4 linked regions of the Oryctolagus cuniculus genome follow. The protein of the gene in region 4 interacts with the protein of the main gene of each other region in a biochemical or structural test. Links are inferred from orthologs where the notes say so. Each region holds a gene or a part of one and is shown on either strand. Other genes may lie near its edges.

Region 1 (3,518 bases), on a different chromosome or scaffold from region 4:
TGGCCTGGGGAAGCAGTAGAAAATGCCCCAAGTCCTTGGGCCCCTGCACCTTCATAGGAGTCCTGGAAGAAGCCCTTGGCTCCTGGCTTTGGATCGGCACAGCTCCAGCCGTTGCGGCCATCTGGGGAGTGAACCAGCGGATGGAAGACCTCTCTCTCTCTCTCTCTCTCTCTGCCTGTCCTCTCTCTGTGTAACTCTGACTTTCAAATAAATAAATAAATCTTTAAAAAAAAAAAAAAAAGATTGAAAGTGCCATGCTAAGTGAGATTGAAACTCGCATTCTAGCATTTGTTGATTGCTCTGTGCCAGGCACTGTGTGAATCAGAGTCGACAGGAGGGAAGAGGAGTGTGACCTGCCACCATCCACATGCCTGCTACCTTCCGAAGCATTCCCGTACACGTTGCTTACTGGAGGGAACGAGCCCTCACTGCACAGGTCACAGTAGCCCCTTTCTAAACTCTGAAAGGCCTTGGTGGTGGCCCCCATAGTGCAGACCCTCTGGAACCCCAGGCCAAAGTTAGTCCCTCTGGGAGAAAGAACTCATTGAGAATTACATAGCATTCAGGTCCACAGCCGACGACCCCAGCTTGATTCCAGAACGTCTCTGAATCCCAAGCACACATCCTAGCAGGAAGGAGAGTGACCAGCCGCCTAAATTTAGGGGACTTTAATAAGGTGCACTTTCAACCCAAGAGTCACTCGTGGCCTGGGCCTGTTGCAGAAGTTGTAGACCTGAGTACATACATACCCTTGGTGTGTTCTCTTCTTTCTGTGAGCCCCCATAGCAAAGAACACACAAGTACACGTGTGTTGGTGAACATGTCCCACCTGCTGCTGCACCACAGAGGGGAGAGGGACCAGAGGGCCCACTGGAGGCCATGCTCTGAAATCCAGCCCGGTGGTGGGGAATGGAGCAAAGGAAGTAGCAGGGAGTAGAAGCCCATAAAGTAGGGTCCTGGGTCAGAGGAGTGGCCCAGAGAGGCAGTGCTGTCATCGTGGCTGTGGGGGCTGCGTCTGCCGGCCCGGAGGAGGTGCCGGGGCTGGGGGCCCTCTCCTGTGACACCAACTGGGAGAGTGGTGATTCTTTCTCTTCCACGTGTGTCTGACTGTCTCACTTCCCTCTCCATCTCAAGCAAACAACACTTGATCTTTATCTAAACTTTGCAGAGAAAGAAGCAGCACACAATGCTGCCTGCCCCATCCCCCCTTCCCCAGTGTGTTCTCCTGGTGTTTCCGGCTTTCCCAGCAGTGCAGGGCAGCATTAAATCTTAAAGAGGATGCCTTTAGTGCATTGTGTTGCTGAGCCATGCGCCGAAACGAAATGAAACAAAAACCCCTGCGTGGTGGCTGACCAGGGTGCCTAGACAAGGATGGCTGTGTGGATGAGTGTGCAACCTCTCTTTTCTCCCTAAATCAGTGTGGATTAATACAGAGAATCCTACCTCTACTCCTGTTTTCCAAAGTGGTAGCACATGATGAAATCCTGCCCGAAATATAGATCCTAAATGTATGTCTGCTTTTACCGTTATTACTACTACTAATTAAATTTTTTAAGATTTATTTATTTTGCTGGCACTGCAGCTCAATAGGCTAATCCTCTGCCTGTGGCTCCAGCACACCGGATTCTATTCCTGGTCAGGGCGCCGGATTCTGTCCCGGTTGCCCCTCTTCCAGGCCAGCTCTCTGCTGTGGCCAGGGAGTGCAGTGGAGGATGGCCCAAGTGCTTGGGCCGTGTACCCCATGGGAGACCAGGATAAGCACCTGGCTCCTGGCTTCGGATCAGCGTGGTGCGCCGGCCGCAGCGCGCCAGCTGCAGTGGCCATTGGAGGGTGAACCAATGGTAAAGGAAGACCTTTCTCTCTGTCTCTCTCTCTCACTGTCCACTCTGCCTGTCAAAGAAAAAAAAATTTATTTTAATTGAAAGTCAGGGTTACACAGAAAGAGGAGAGGCAGAGAGGCAGGAGTGGGGGGAGGTCTTCCATTAAATGGTTCACTCCCCAATTGGCCGCAGTGGCCGGAGCTGTGCTGATCCATAGCCAGGAGCCAGGAGTCTCCTCCCGGTCTCCCACGTGGGTGCAGGGGCCCAAGGACTTGGGCCATCTTCTACTGCTTTCCCAGGCCATAGCAGAGAGCTGGATCAAAAGTGGAGCAGCCAGGTCTTGAACCAGCGCCCATATGGGATGCCGTCACTTCAGGCTAGGGCGTTAATCCGCTGCGCCACAGCGCCAGCCCCACTACTAATTAAATTTTAAAGATTAATTTGTTTGAAAAGCAGAACGATAGAGAAATCTTCCATCTGCTGTTTGCTCCCCAAATGCCCGCAACTGCCAAGGCTGGACCAAAGCTGCCATTCAAGAACTCCATCCAGGTCACCTGTGTGAGCCACAGGGACTCCCATACTTGAACCATTATCTACTGTCCCTCAGGCCTCCCAGCAGGACCCTGGATCAGAAGCAGAGAGGCTGGGGGCGGAACCAGGCATCCAATATGGGGTGCAGGCATCCTGAGCAGCGGCTGAAGCTGCCGTGCCACACGTGCCCACTCCTACTTTGAGTCACCAATGTCAGAACTTTCTCCTGCCTTTAGCAGTCATCCAGTGCCAAGGATGAATTGTTGGAAGTATGTGCTCTCAAAGCCAGGCCCCTACACAGGGGCTGAACTTGAACCTCCCTTGAGTAGAGGTTCTGCATGCATGGTCAAGGTGTGTTTGGCATTCCAGTTTAATGGTGTCCCCTTTTAACCTTTCCATGAACAGTTTCCGGCTCTGGCTGGAATTGTGGCGTCTCAACTCTTATTACCAACACACAGAAGCCCACGGGGATCGCCGATGTATATAGCAAGTTCCGCCCGGTGAAACGGGTTTCCCCACTGAAACACCAGCCGGAGACCCTGGACAGCAATGAAAGCGATGATCAAAAGAACCAGAAGGGGGACCTCCAGAAAGGGGGTGATTCTGATGCAGGCCCCCAGCCTGAGGAGCTGGGCCCCGAAGAGGGAGTCGGGGGCCTGCCTGGGAAGGGCTCGGAGCCCAGCCCGGCGCTGGGCGAGCTGGAGCACTATGACCTCGACATGGATGAGATCCTGGATGTGCCTTACATCAAGTCCAACCAACAGCTTGCCTGTTTCAGCAAGGTGGCTTCAGACAAAAGGATTTTGGGTTTATGCACGACCATCAACGGCCTCGCCACCGGCAAAGCCTGCTGTGCAGGAGGTGCCGAGAACCCACCACCCACCACAACGCCCTTCTGTGTCCTGTCTCCCGTGAAAAGCCCTCACCTGAGAAAAGCATCCACCGCCATCCGCGATCAGCACAAGCTGGGCCCGGAAGAATCCGAGAGCGCGCCCGCTCTGGTTTCTTGTGTCTCCGCGTATGAGCCTGAGACCCAGAGCAGAGACTTCCCAAACAAGGCCTTCGCAGAACCACATGGCGGAAAGGTCGAGAAGGCACTGCCCGACTGCCAGCTCCGGGCCTTCCGCCTGCCGTGCTCGGCCGCAGAAGCCACGCTGGAGGAGCAGG
Region 2 (3,518 bases), on a different chromosome or scaffold from region 4:
CATGCCTCATTAATATTTAGCACCCGCTGCCCCTGGAATGGCCAGATCGCCAGTTTAGCGCTGACTGCCACGGGATACCTGCTGACACTGCTCTAGGCTTCTGTTTTCCTCCGAGACGCTCAGGCCCCGCGTCCACCGCTGTGAAATGTGACCTGTCTCGGGGTATTCTGCGACCCATCCTTGCCACTTCTCCTTGCGGGTCACTTTGCAGGGTCTTCTCTTGAATGCCTCCTTGGGCACCCTCCTCAAAAGCATGTGTCAGAGCTGGGGAGTGTGCAGCAGCTGTCTGTGCGTGGGGAGCGCCCCAGATCCCCTGTGCCCCATGACCGTGTGACCTCGACTTGGTTTCTCATCTGGCTGTGCTAGACACAGGTTCTCGAGAATATTGGGTTTCTAGAGATGCCTCCAAGGGGGCCAGCATTCTGCATCCCAAGTGCTGTGGTCCCACCTGTGCCCGCCCCATGGAGTCCCCGCTGCTGGGGGCCGGCAGGCACAGACCACTCAATGCCAGAACTGACCGACAAGAGTTATTTCACAGAAATGTCTGTGCCCTCTCGTTGTCATTCCACAAAAGGCCCGCAAAATCAAAACCCTAAGTTCCTGTGCAAAGACGCAGTCTCCCCTGTGTCGGCCTGGTGCTGTTGCTGCAGCTGTCCCGGTGGTTGGCCTCCGGTGCAGGGCTCTGGCCAGCCCTCTGGGTGCACTGATCTGAAATTTCACTCCAGACCCCCTCCTGTAGACAGGGCTCTGACCGGCCTGTGGCCGAAAGCCTGCGTGAGCATTGGCTGGTGCTGGCGGCAGACTGGGCGAGCAGCAGGCCACTCCACATCGGCCCACCTGACTCTTGGACACGTGACCCTGCCAGTGGGCAGTTAGCTCTGAACTCGGCGTGTGGTGGCCCATCAGCCCCCTGTCTGCATGACCTACGCTCCCTCATTCCCACCCTCAGCCTTCTCTCGGCCGCTCCTGAGACACGGCAGGACCTCAGGAAGTAGTTGTGGGATGGGTTAAAACAGCCTCTGAAGGGGCCTGGCAGGACCTCTAGGAGCCATCCTACCTGCAGTGTCACCCGGCTGCTCAGGGCCCACCCACCAGCAGTGTCAGCAGCACCCCAGGCGCCTGTTAGAGTGCAAGCTGTGGAGCCCCCTGCTGGCAAGGAGCCCCGCGTCTTTCCACCTGGGGCCTCTTGCGTGTAGCCCGGGAAGAGCCCTCGTGTTTGGCCATGCTCGGCCCTCATGCCTTTCCCCGCTGACTACGTCTCATCCAAGAGACCAGACCGGGGGCTCCGAGGGGCCGTTGCAGCCACTGTTGCTCACCTTGGTTGCTCCTAGGCACAGTCTGCAGTACCTGCACAAGGGCAATACCTGCCGAGGGCACTAACAGGAGTCCCTCCAGCCGCCTCCCAGATGCTGGAGGCCACGTGGCCAGGGAGGGCCAGCATCAGCCCCCCCCCCCCCCGGCTGTCATCTCTCTCTGCTTCTCCTGCACCTGTCCCCTCTTTCTTAGCTTTATCCCCTCATTTGCAGCCTTGGCCACCCTCTAGACCAAGGGCTAGACAGCTACAACCCAGCTGCCCACGCAGAGTGAAGGCCAAGTCCTAGCTGAGTCTGGGGAAGCTGAGGCCAGGGTTGGCCTGGCCAGTGTGGGCGTCCTGGAGAGCCCTGACCTGTGACCTCCTCTTCCTCCCGCCACAGCAAACACCAGTCACCACGCGTCCTCCTACAAGCCCAAGTCCTCCAGCAACGTGACCTCCACCAGCGGTCACTCTTCAGGGAGCTCCTCTGGAGCCATCGCCTACCGACAGCAGCGGCCAGGCCCCCACTTCCAGCAGCAGCAACCCCTCAATCTCAGCCAGGTGAGTCCCTGCCTGATGGCCGGCGGCCCCCACGGCAGACCCTCACACCCCACAGAGAGCGGCACGGGGCGGAGGCTGCCCCGGCAGGGTCGCTCGTGGGGAAGCTGACAGCACTGGTGCGTGGGTCGCACAGTGCTGCCTCACCGTGGCAAAGCACTCGTGACTTGGTGCCGAGCTTAGACTAGGAGCCCACAGAAGGCTGCCTCCCCCAGCAGAGGCAAGACACCAACCAGGGAGAGCCCTGCTGTGCACCTCACTGCGGGGCGGGGCGGGGTGGGGGGGGGACACACTCCAGAGACCCACCCAACCTAGGGCAGGAGAGTCCTAGCCTCAGCCATGTGTCCCAGCAGCTTAGCTTCTCCAGGTAGGAGACAGTTGATGGAACTGCCCATGGCAGCGTTTCCGAGGGCGCAGGCTTCCTGCCCGGGGACCCCAGCCGGTGAGGGGCAGGCCTGCTTGCTCCACCCAGTGCAGGCTCATCTTCACTCGCTCCATATCCCAAGGCCAGCACCCCTGTCCCTCCTCCACTCCCGGCCTCCCCCGTGTACCCCCTCACGCCGCCCTCTCTGGGTGCCTCTGCTCCGCAGGCTCAGCAGCACGTCACCACGGACCGCGCCGGGAGCCACCGACGGCAGCAGGCCTACATCGCTCCCACCATGGCTCAGGCACCCTACTCCTTCCCGCACAACAGCCCCAGCCATGGCACTGTCCACCCCCACCTGGCCGCCGCCGCAGCTGCCGCCCACCTGCCCGCCCAGCCCCACCTCTACACCTACACAGCGCCTGCTGCCCTGGGCTCCACCGGCACCGTGGCCCACCTGGTGGCCTCCCAAGGCTCGGCGCGCCACACCGTGCAGCACACTGCCTACCCGGCCAGCATCGTGCACCAGGTCCCCGTGAGCATGGGCCCCCGGGTCCTGCCCTCTCCTACCATCCACCCCAGCCAGTATCCAGCCCAGTTCACCCACCAGACCTACATCAGCGCCTCTCCAGCCTCCACCGTCTACACTGGATACCCACTTAGCCCTGCCAAGGTCAACCAGTACCCTTACATATAAGCACTGGAGGGTGGGGGAGGAGACGGCGGAGAGGGCGGGAGGAGGGGTGGGGGAGGAGACGGGGCCAGAGAGGGCGGGGAGGAGGGTGGCCAGAGCTCCTGGGACCGAGGAGGGAGCTGGCTTTTTATGCTGAAGACACCGCACACAAACAATGCAAATGGGAGGGGGCGGGGACTGGGACGGACGCAAAGGAAACTTGAACCAGGAAGTGAGGAGGACTTAGAGCAGAGAAGAGAACATTTTAAAAAGGAAGGGATCAAGGAGGGGGAAATCTATGCTTTTTATTTTAAAAAAGAAAAAAGAAAAAAAAATGTTGGCAACAAAAAAACACAGCTCATGCACCCACTCTGCACCAAACTGGAAAGGAGAAGAGAGCCACAGGAAGATCCCAGAGGGGCCCAGTGTGGGGAGAACTTTTATCTATGAACTTTTCAAAGATTATTTTCATACGACGGCAAGTGGCATTGAAGAACTTGCTGTCAGGGACACCTGCTGTGCAAATCCAATAGATTTTTAATTAACTGAACATACGAATTAGGGATTTTTCCAGAACTCTAAGAGTCGACACCCCCTCCAGAATGAGGAGGCTGACATTTCGGGGTTGG
Region 3 (3,518 bases), on a different chromosome or scaffold from region 4:
CTTAGCTTTTGTTTTATCCCTCTTTGGAGTGTTGATGAGCAGGGAAAAGGGAAACAGTCTGAAAGTTCTCAAAGGTATAAAAAGGAGGCTCACAGGCAACAGGGAACATACTAGCAAAGTCAGTCCTAAAGAAATCTTAGTACATATGTCTATTATTGCCGCCTGTATATGCTGTCATTTTATAATATACCTAAATTATGTATCATTACAGCCACAAAGCCTCATGAGTTGCAATTACATAACAAATACACTTTACTGTATAGTTTGGATGCATTAAAATAATAGATAAAAGTTTCTATCTAAAGGATTGCCTAGATTTTGTAAAATTCATGAAGGGCAGAGAAACTATGAGTTTGTAAAAAAACCAAAATCTGTTTTTTTCTTACTGGGAGATTTATAACAAGAAAATGTTCATTTCAAGCAAAACTTTCTGTTCATGTTCTTAAAAAAGGAAAAAATGACAACTTGAAATACATAATTCACCATTTTTAAAAGATCAACACTCCAGAAATGTTTAAAAACATAAATTTTCCAGTACAGCTTTTCACTGGCATTTAAATTGAACTTTGAATTGTAAATAGCTGTTACTCCTTCAGAGACATTAGTATGTTCAGTGGCACAACGTCACTAGGCAAACCTGCAGAATTCTGGGCAAAAGGCAGACTGAGAACAACACCTGCTGTGGGTTCGTTGATTTTAGACTGTGTGGCTGCTTCACCCTTCCCTACAGTGCCTGGATGAGAGTCCTTACTCACCACCCTTGCTTTCTTGACCCAAACACTCTACTTGAAAACAAATTGCCTTGTGCCACTGTTTAATTATTGACGCCCCAAACTAGTGGTGTAAGATCTGAAAAGGATCACGCGAGTAGCATTTGGAGATGTTTCTCAGAGAGAGGCTCACCAGGAGGATATAAGGATGGTGAAACATGAAAATATGGCTTTATTCTTAATGGAGTGCCTAATGAATGAATCCCTCAAAACCCCAAATTCCTGAATGTTGGGGGAAAAAGCAGAACAGGAATGAGTTTGTGGGAGCAGAAGGAAAGAGGGCAGAGATTCTGTAGACAAATAAGAGATGCAGGACCAAAGGCTTCATGGCATGGATGGATGTTATAGCAGGTTGGATGGAAATGGATGGTTTTATTTCTGTATTGAATTATTATTTTTATTTATTTATTTATTTGAGAGGTAGAGTTACAAACAGTGAGAGGAAGAGACAGAGAGAAAGGTCTTCCCTCCGTTGGTTCACTCTCCAACTGGCCGCAATGGCCGGAGCTGCACTGCTTCTTCTTGGTCTCCCATGCAGGTGCAGGGGCCCAAGCACTTGGGCCATCCTCCACTGCTCTCCCAGGACATAGCAGAGAGCTGGATTGGAAGAGAAGCAGCGGGGACTAGAACTGGTGCCCATATGGGATGCCGGTGCCGCAGGCAGAGGATTAACCCACTGCACCATGTGCTGCGGCCCCCTGTATTGAATTATTAACAGCATAGAATCTTTTATATTTGGTTGCATACAACTTTTTAGTTAATTGAAATTAAAATTTTATTTGGGCTTTCTTTATATAATTATATTGAAATAATATAGAAAACTTGATTCCACAAGCAGGTACATTTCTAGGATGTCTTTGGGAGTTTTTGATAAGAAATTAAATCTCTAGATTATAAATTTACATTATTTACACCATCTTCTCTAAATTTTTAATTGGTTTTAGAAATATACTGAATTATTATATCATATTTTGTTTTATGGAAGTGAATTATATGTTCAATAAGCCTCTTAATTTTCATATTAACTTAAAATCTAGATGCTTTGTTCCCATTAAAATTACTGACAATCTTATAATTAAGAACCTTTCTGTTTCACAAACTGAAATTTTATAAAAGGTTCAGAATTCCTTCTTAACCATTCCTCTGCCATTGTGCATTTTGATAGTAACATGTATGAGCACAAAAACAGTTGGAGTCTCCCTTATCTAAAATAGTTAGGTTTGGAAGTGTTTTGGATCTTGGATTTCTTTTGTTTCGGTGGGGGGAATTATGGTATATTTGCATATACCAAATAAGATATTTTGGGAATGAGACCCAAGTCTATACACATGATTTGAGTATCACATATACCGTATATGACTGGCCTGGAGGCTATTTTATACAGTGTTTTAAATAATTTTGTACATGAAACAAAGTCTCATGGTGTGGAATTTTCCCCTTGTGCCATCATGTTAGCACTCCAAATGTTTCAGATTTTGGAGAATTTTGAATTTTCAGATTAGGGATGCTCAACCTGTAGGTAGAATGTGTCATGTTGCTCAGCAATCTGCTGAAAATGAACTTGCTGATTGAGATAGAAGAATCGGCCCTGAAATTGAAATAAAGAAATAAATTTCTTGCTGAGTCTGATTCCACTATATCTGACTTTGGAAGTGCTACTTTCTGCAACTTTCCTAAAAATAAGTCAAACCCAAGCTGCTTGTGGGCCTACACTTGTGATCATTAAAGAGGAGGCACCTTCTAAAGTCTGTGTGATTATAACAAGATGTCAGTGAAGATGCAGATTTTGAGTAATCCCTCTCACTTAGAAATCTTGGTAGCTACTATTTCCTGTGATCCTTCAATTGCCTAAAGCCTGTGTAAATACAGGCTGAACTGGGGCTTACACTATGGCTCACTTGGTTAATACTCCGCCTGTGGCGCTGGCATCCCAGATGGGTGCCGGTTTCTAGTCCTGGTTGCTCCTCTTCCAGTCCAGCTCTCTGCTGTGGCCCGGGAGGGCAGTGGAGGATGACCCAGGTGCTTGGGCCTCTGCACCCACATGGGAGACCAGGAAGAAGCACCTGGCTCCTAACTTTGAATCGGTGCAGCAGCCATTTAGGGGGTGAACCAACAGAAGGAAGACCTTTCTCTCTGTCTCTCTCCTTCACTGTCTAACTCTATCTGTCAAATAAAAAAAAAATCTTAAAAAAAAAAAAGAAAAAAATACAGGCTGAATGGAAGTTGACTGTTAGTGGAAGTAGAATTTTATAAAGTTGCTGCTGTCTTTAATCTGCTATTGCTTTTCATTCACCCCAGTGGCTGAGAAGACCAAAGAGCAAGTGACAAATGTTGGAGAGGCAGTGGTGACAGGTGTGACAGCAGTCGCCCAGAAGACAGTGGAAGGAGCGGGGAGCATTGCAGCCGCCACCGGCTTCGTCAAAAAAGACCAGCAAGGCAAGGTATGTTGTGTGAGTTTGATGTTATATTTAAACTATCGCAAGATCATGGCTCATTCTCAAAGGAGGCGAAACTCAGAAACAAGATGACTGCCGTGGGGGGAGTACTGCCTGATTCTCCTCAGAAAAAAGTACTTCTTTCATATGGAGCTTGTATTTAGGGTATGAACACCGAGAAATGCCATGCAAATTGTACAGTCATCACGACTGTTTCAGTTTCTGGAAGAGCACTAATGAAATGAGCGATGTGGTAAATGCCAAAAGGAACAATGACATTTCACAAAGAATGGATGCTTTATGTTAACTGTGC
Region 4 (3,518 bases):
CCTTTGTGCATTATATCTGATCTGTATTGTGGAATGGAAGAACAGAATGACGTACTTTTCTCTGGACTGCAGAATCAAAACTTTTGAGGATGATCTTCCATTTTTTCCCCCTCATTCTTGAGGTGGGCGCTGATAACCTAGTGGATAATGGTTTGGGAGAAGACTTAGTTAATAGGATGGTAGCAGGTGTTTCTCCTTGGCCCCCTTCTTCTGTCCCCAAAATAAACCTCCAGAGCAGATACTATTCACCGTTAGAAAGAGTTAATGTCAGTGCAGATGATCCCATGGCATTTGAACTACACAAGGGTACTTAAAAAATGTTCCTGGAAAATGAAATTAAAAGATAAGTATATATTGGCACACGTTTTTTGAAATCTGTGTAGTTTTTTTCTCAACACATTTCCATGAGCATTTTTTTTTTTTTAAAGATTTATTTATTTGAAAGAGTTGCGCAGAGAGAAACGGAGAGTCAGAGAGAGGTCTACCATCTGCTGGTTCACTCTGCAATTGGCTGCAATGGCCGGAGCTGTGCTGATCTGAAGCCAGGAGACAGGAGCCTCCTCCAGGTCTCTCACGTGGATGCAGGGGCCCAAGGACTTTTGCCATCTTCTACTGCTTTCCCACGCCATAGCAGAGAGCTGGATAGAAGAAGAGCAGCCAGGACTCAAACCAGTGCCCATATGGGATGCTGGCATTGCAGGCGGCGGCTTCACCTGCTAAGCCACAGCACTGCTGGCCCCTCCATGAGCATTTTGAAGATTCATTGTATACAAGGATTTCAACATCTTTTGCACTGAAATAATGTTACCTTTTAATACATTTTCCATGAAATTTTTGTAGTGCCCTGCTGTAACTCTCCCCATATGTAGCTGTTCACAGCTGTCTCGGAATCAGAAAGAAACAGATAGAGGAATATCAGAGAGGGGGTGGAGTGGCAGTCACAACAGCTCTGATTGGATGTAGGCTGCTCACACAGCGTCTCCTGGTTGCTTATGGCTCATTTTCTGTTTCAGCATTTCTTACTCCCATTAAAGACAATTCTTAGCACTGTTTTTTAAAGGGGGGGTGGTGTCTAATTATGTTCTAGAACATTTTGAAAATGGTGTATAACTTACAACTGCTAATAATCAAAATGCACATTTAGTGTCATTTATGTTTTGTTTTTAATTCTATTTTTTATTTTTGCTCACAATAAATTTTGCATGAAGCTTAAAGTATTTCTGGCTTGTAAAAGTTACTGATATAGTAAGTAAAAAGTTGTAATTTTTCTCCTGCCTCCTTTTACTTTTTATTTATTTTTTATTGCAGAAATGAGCCGTCAGACTGCTACTGCATTACCGACTGGTACCTCGAAGTGCCCGCCGTCGCAGAGGGTGCCTGCCCTGACGGGCACGACCGCGTCCAACAATGACTTGGCGAGTCTTTTTGAGTGTCCGGTCTGCTTTGACTATGTGTTGCCACCCATTCTTCAGTGTCAGAGTGGCCATCTCGTTTGTAGCAACTGTCGCCCAAAGCTCACATGTTGTCCAACTTGCCGGGGCCCACTGGGATCCATTCGCAACTTGGCTATGGAGAAGGTGGCCAATTCAGTACTTTTCCCTTGTAAATATGCCTCGTCTGGATGTGAAATAACTCTGCCACACACAGAGAAAGCAGACCACGAAGAGCTGTGTGAGTTTAGGCCGTACTCCTGTCCGTGCCCTGGTGCTTCCTGTAAATGGCAGGGCTCTCTGGACGCTGTAATGCCCCATCTGATGCATCAGCACAAGTCCATTACAACCCTTCAGGGAGAGGATATAGTTTTCCTTGCTACAGACATTAACCTTCCTGGTGCTGTTGACTGGGTGATGATGCAGTCCTGTTTCGGCTTTCACTTCATGTTAGTCTTGGAGAAACAGGAAAAATATGATGGTCACCAGCAGTTCTTTGCAATTGTACAGCTGATAGGAACACGCAAGCAAGCTGAAAATTTTGCTTATCGACTTGAGCTAAATGGGCACAGGCGACGATTGACTTGGGAGGCGACTCCTCGGTCTATTCATGAGGGAATTGCGACAGCCATCATGAACAGTGACTGCCTAGTCTTCGACACCAGCATCGCACAGCTCTTCGCAGAAAATGGCAACTTAGGCATCAATGTAACGATTTCCATGTGTTGAAATGGCAATCAAGAGTTTTCTGGCCAGTGTTTAAAACTGTTGCATTCAGTTTCACAGAGAGCAAGGCACCCGACTGCCTGCCAACCTGAAACTCTTTGGGCAGGTGGAAACTAGACACATGAAGGTAAATAAAAAGAAAGGCTGTTAAATACAGGAAACAGTTGCATGTAGTAACACTAATATATTTAAAAATAAGTCAACAGTAAACCACTGAAAAATATATATATATACACCCAAGATGGGCATCTTTTGTATTAAGAAAGGAAGCATTGTAAAATAATTCTGAATTTTGTGTTTGTTGTAGATTGATTGTATTGTTGAAAAATACTGGTTTTTGTTTTGTTGTTCTGTTTCTTCTGTTATTGCGTGTGTCTGTGTGTGTGTGTGTGTGTGTGTGTGTTTCCCTAACTGACAAGCCATCTGAGTGGTCTTGGACCACTGCTTTTTCCCCTTTGTGAGTCAATACATAGTGCTGCTGTGTTTCCTTGTGTGTGTATATTTGCTAATTTTTATTAATTCTAGTTTTTCATTAAATAAACTTTCTTTTCTGTAATTCAGGTTTTCCTCACTTTTTTGGGTACCTTTTAAAGTCAGTGTCTTCCTGCCCTGATAACTGTTTATGGTGAAGTTTGTGTTCGGGGTACGTTCTCGTTCCCCATTCGTCAGTTTAGCAGACACATTTCATCAGCTGCTTGGTGAAGACAGGCGTTCCCAGAGGAAAGGGAACATTGGGAAACCCGTCAGAAGCCACCCAAGCAGCCACGAGATGGTCTTCTCTCTCCTTTTCGCACTCACTACTTCGTCTCCATTTGAGTCCTATATACAAGTTAGGGAATGCATTCTGATTCATATAAATACTGAAAATCAGGCTTTTTTTTTTCTTTTCCAAATATTGTAGACAAATCACATGATCACATGTTCAAAATTTGTTCTTGTATTTATTGGTTTTGCAAAAAGAAGGCATCGTCACATACAGTGTTTGTAATTAAAGTAAATCATTTGTTTAAAAAAGACAGTTTGCAAAAAATATGTTTTTGGTCTTTTATAATTCTCATTAAAAGAATATCTGGCAAACGGAAAACTCTTAATGTGTCTGCTTTAGCTGTAAGATTGGTAAGGCCCGGGCGCGCTGCCGCCCTGCCCCGCTGCCGTCCTGCCCCGCCCCACCTCAGGCAGGCAGCGTGATGCAGCCGGCGCTCAGCCGCGTGGCCTCCAGACACAGCCATACTTTCTCACCCTCCCCTGCACGCTGCCTGCTTCTTGTGCCTCCGTAAGAACAGCCACCACTTAAAATACTCCCTTTCTCCCCTTTAGGGAACAAAAGTGCGTTTAGTATTTCATAGCTGATTGTTGAGACTT

The links.
Region 1: the proteins of SIAH1 (region 4) and SNCAIP form a complex in vitro, tested with the Homo sapiens proteins (2 studies listed by BioGRID, with this or other methods). The link is inferred for Oryctolagus cuniculus from reciprocal best matches to the Homo sapiens genes SIAH1 and SNCAIP.
Region 2: of the proteins of SIAH1 (region 4) and HIPK2, one has a biochemical effect on the other in vitro, tested with the Homo sapiens proteins (4 studies listed by BioGRID, with this or other methods). The link is inferred for Oryctolagus cuniculus from reciprocal best matches to the Homo sapiens genes SIAH1 and HIPK2.
Region 3: the proteins of SIAH1 (region 4) and SNCA form a complex in vitro, tested with the Homo sapiens proteins (3 studies listed by BioGRID, with this or other methods). The link is inferred for Oryctolagus cuniculus from reciprocal best matches to the Homo sapiens genes SIAH1 and SNCA.

What each region holds. Positions count from the first base shown.
Region 1 is NC_091437.1:12,130,583-12,134,100, forward strand, and holds part of SNCAIP (synphilin-1), read left to right. Parts: intron 1-2,756; coding exon 2,757-3,518. UniProt on the Homo sapiens protein: Isoform 2 inhibits the ubiquitin ligase activity of SIAH1 and inhibits proteasomal degradation of target proteins. Isoform 2 inhibits autoubiquitination and proteasomal degradation of SIAH1, and thereby increases cellular levels of SIAH.
Region 2 is NC_091434.1:184,453,260-184,456,777, forward strand, and holds part of HIPK2 (homeodomain-interacting protein kinase 2), read left to right. Parts: intron 1-1,694; coding exon 1,695-1,855; intron 1,856-2,442; coding exon 2,443-2,913; 3' UTR 2,914-3,518.
Region 3 is NC_091439.1:75,768,318-75,771,835, forward strand, and holds part of SNCA (alpha-synuclein), read left to right. Parts: intron 1-3,068; coding exon 3,069-3,211; intron 3,212-3,518. UniProt on the Homo sapiens protein: Neuronal protein that plays several roles in synaptic activity such as regulation of synaptic vesicle trafficking and subsequent neurotransmitter release.
Region 4 is NC_091449.1:32,098,046-32,101,563, reverse strand, and holds the end of SIAH1 (E3 ubiquitin-protein ligase SIAH1), read left to right. Parts: intron 1-1,308; coding exon 1,309-2,159; 3' UTR 2,160-3,240; downstream 3,241-3,518. UniProt on the Homo sapiens protein: E3 ubiquitin-protein ligase that mediates ubiquitination and subsequent proteasomal degradation of target proteins.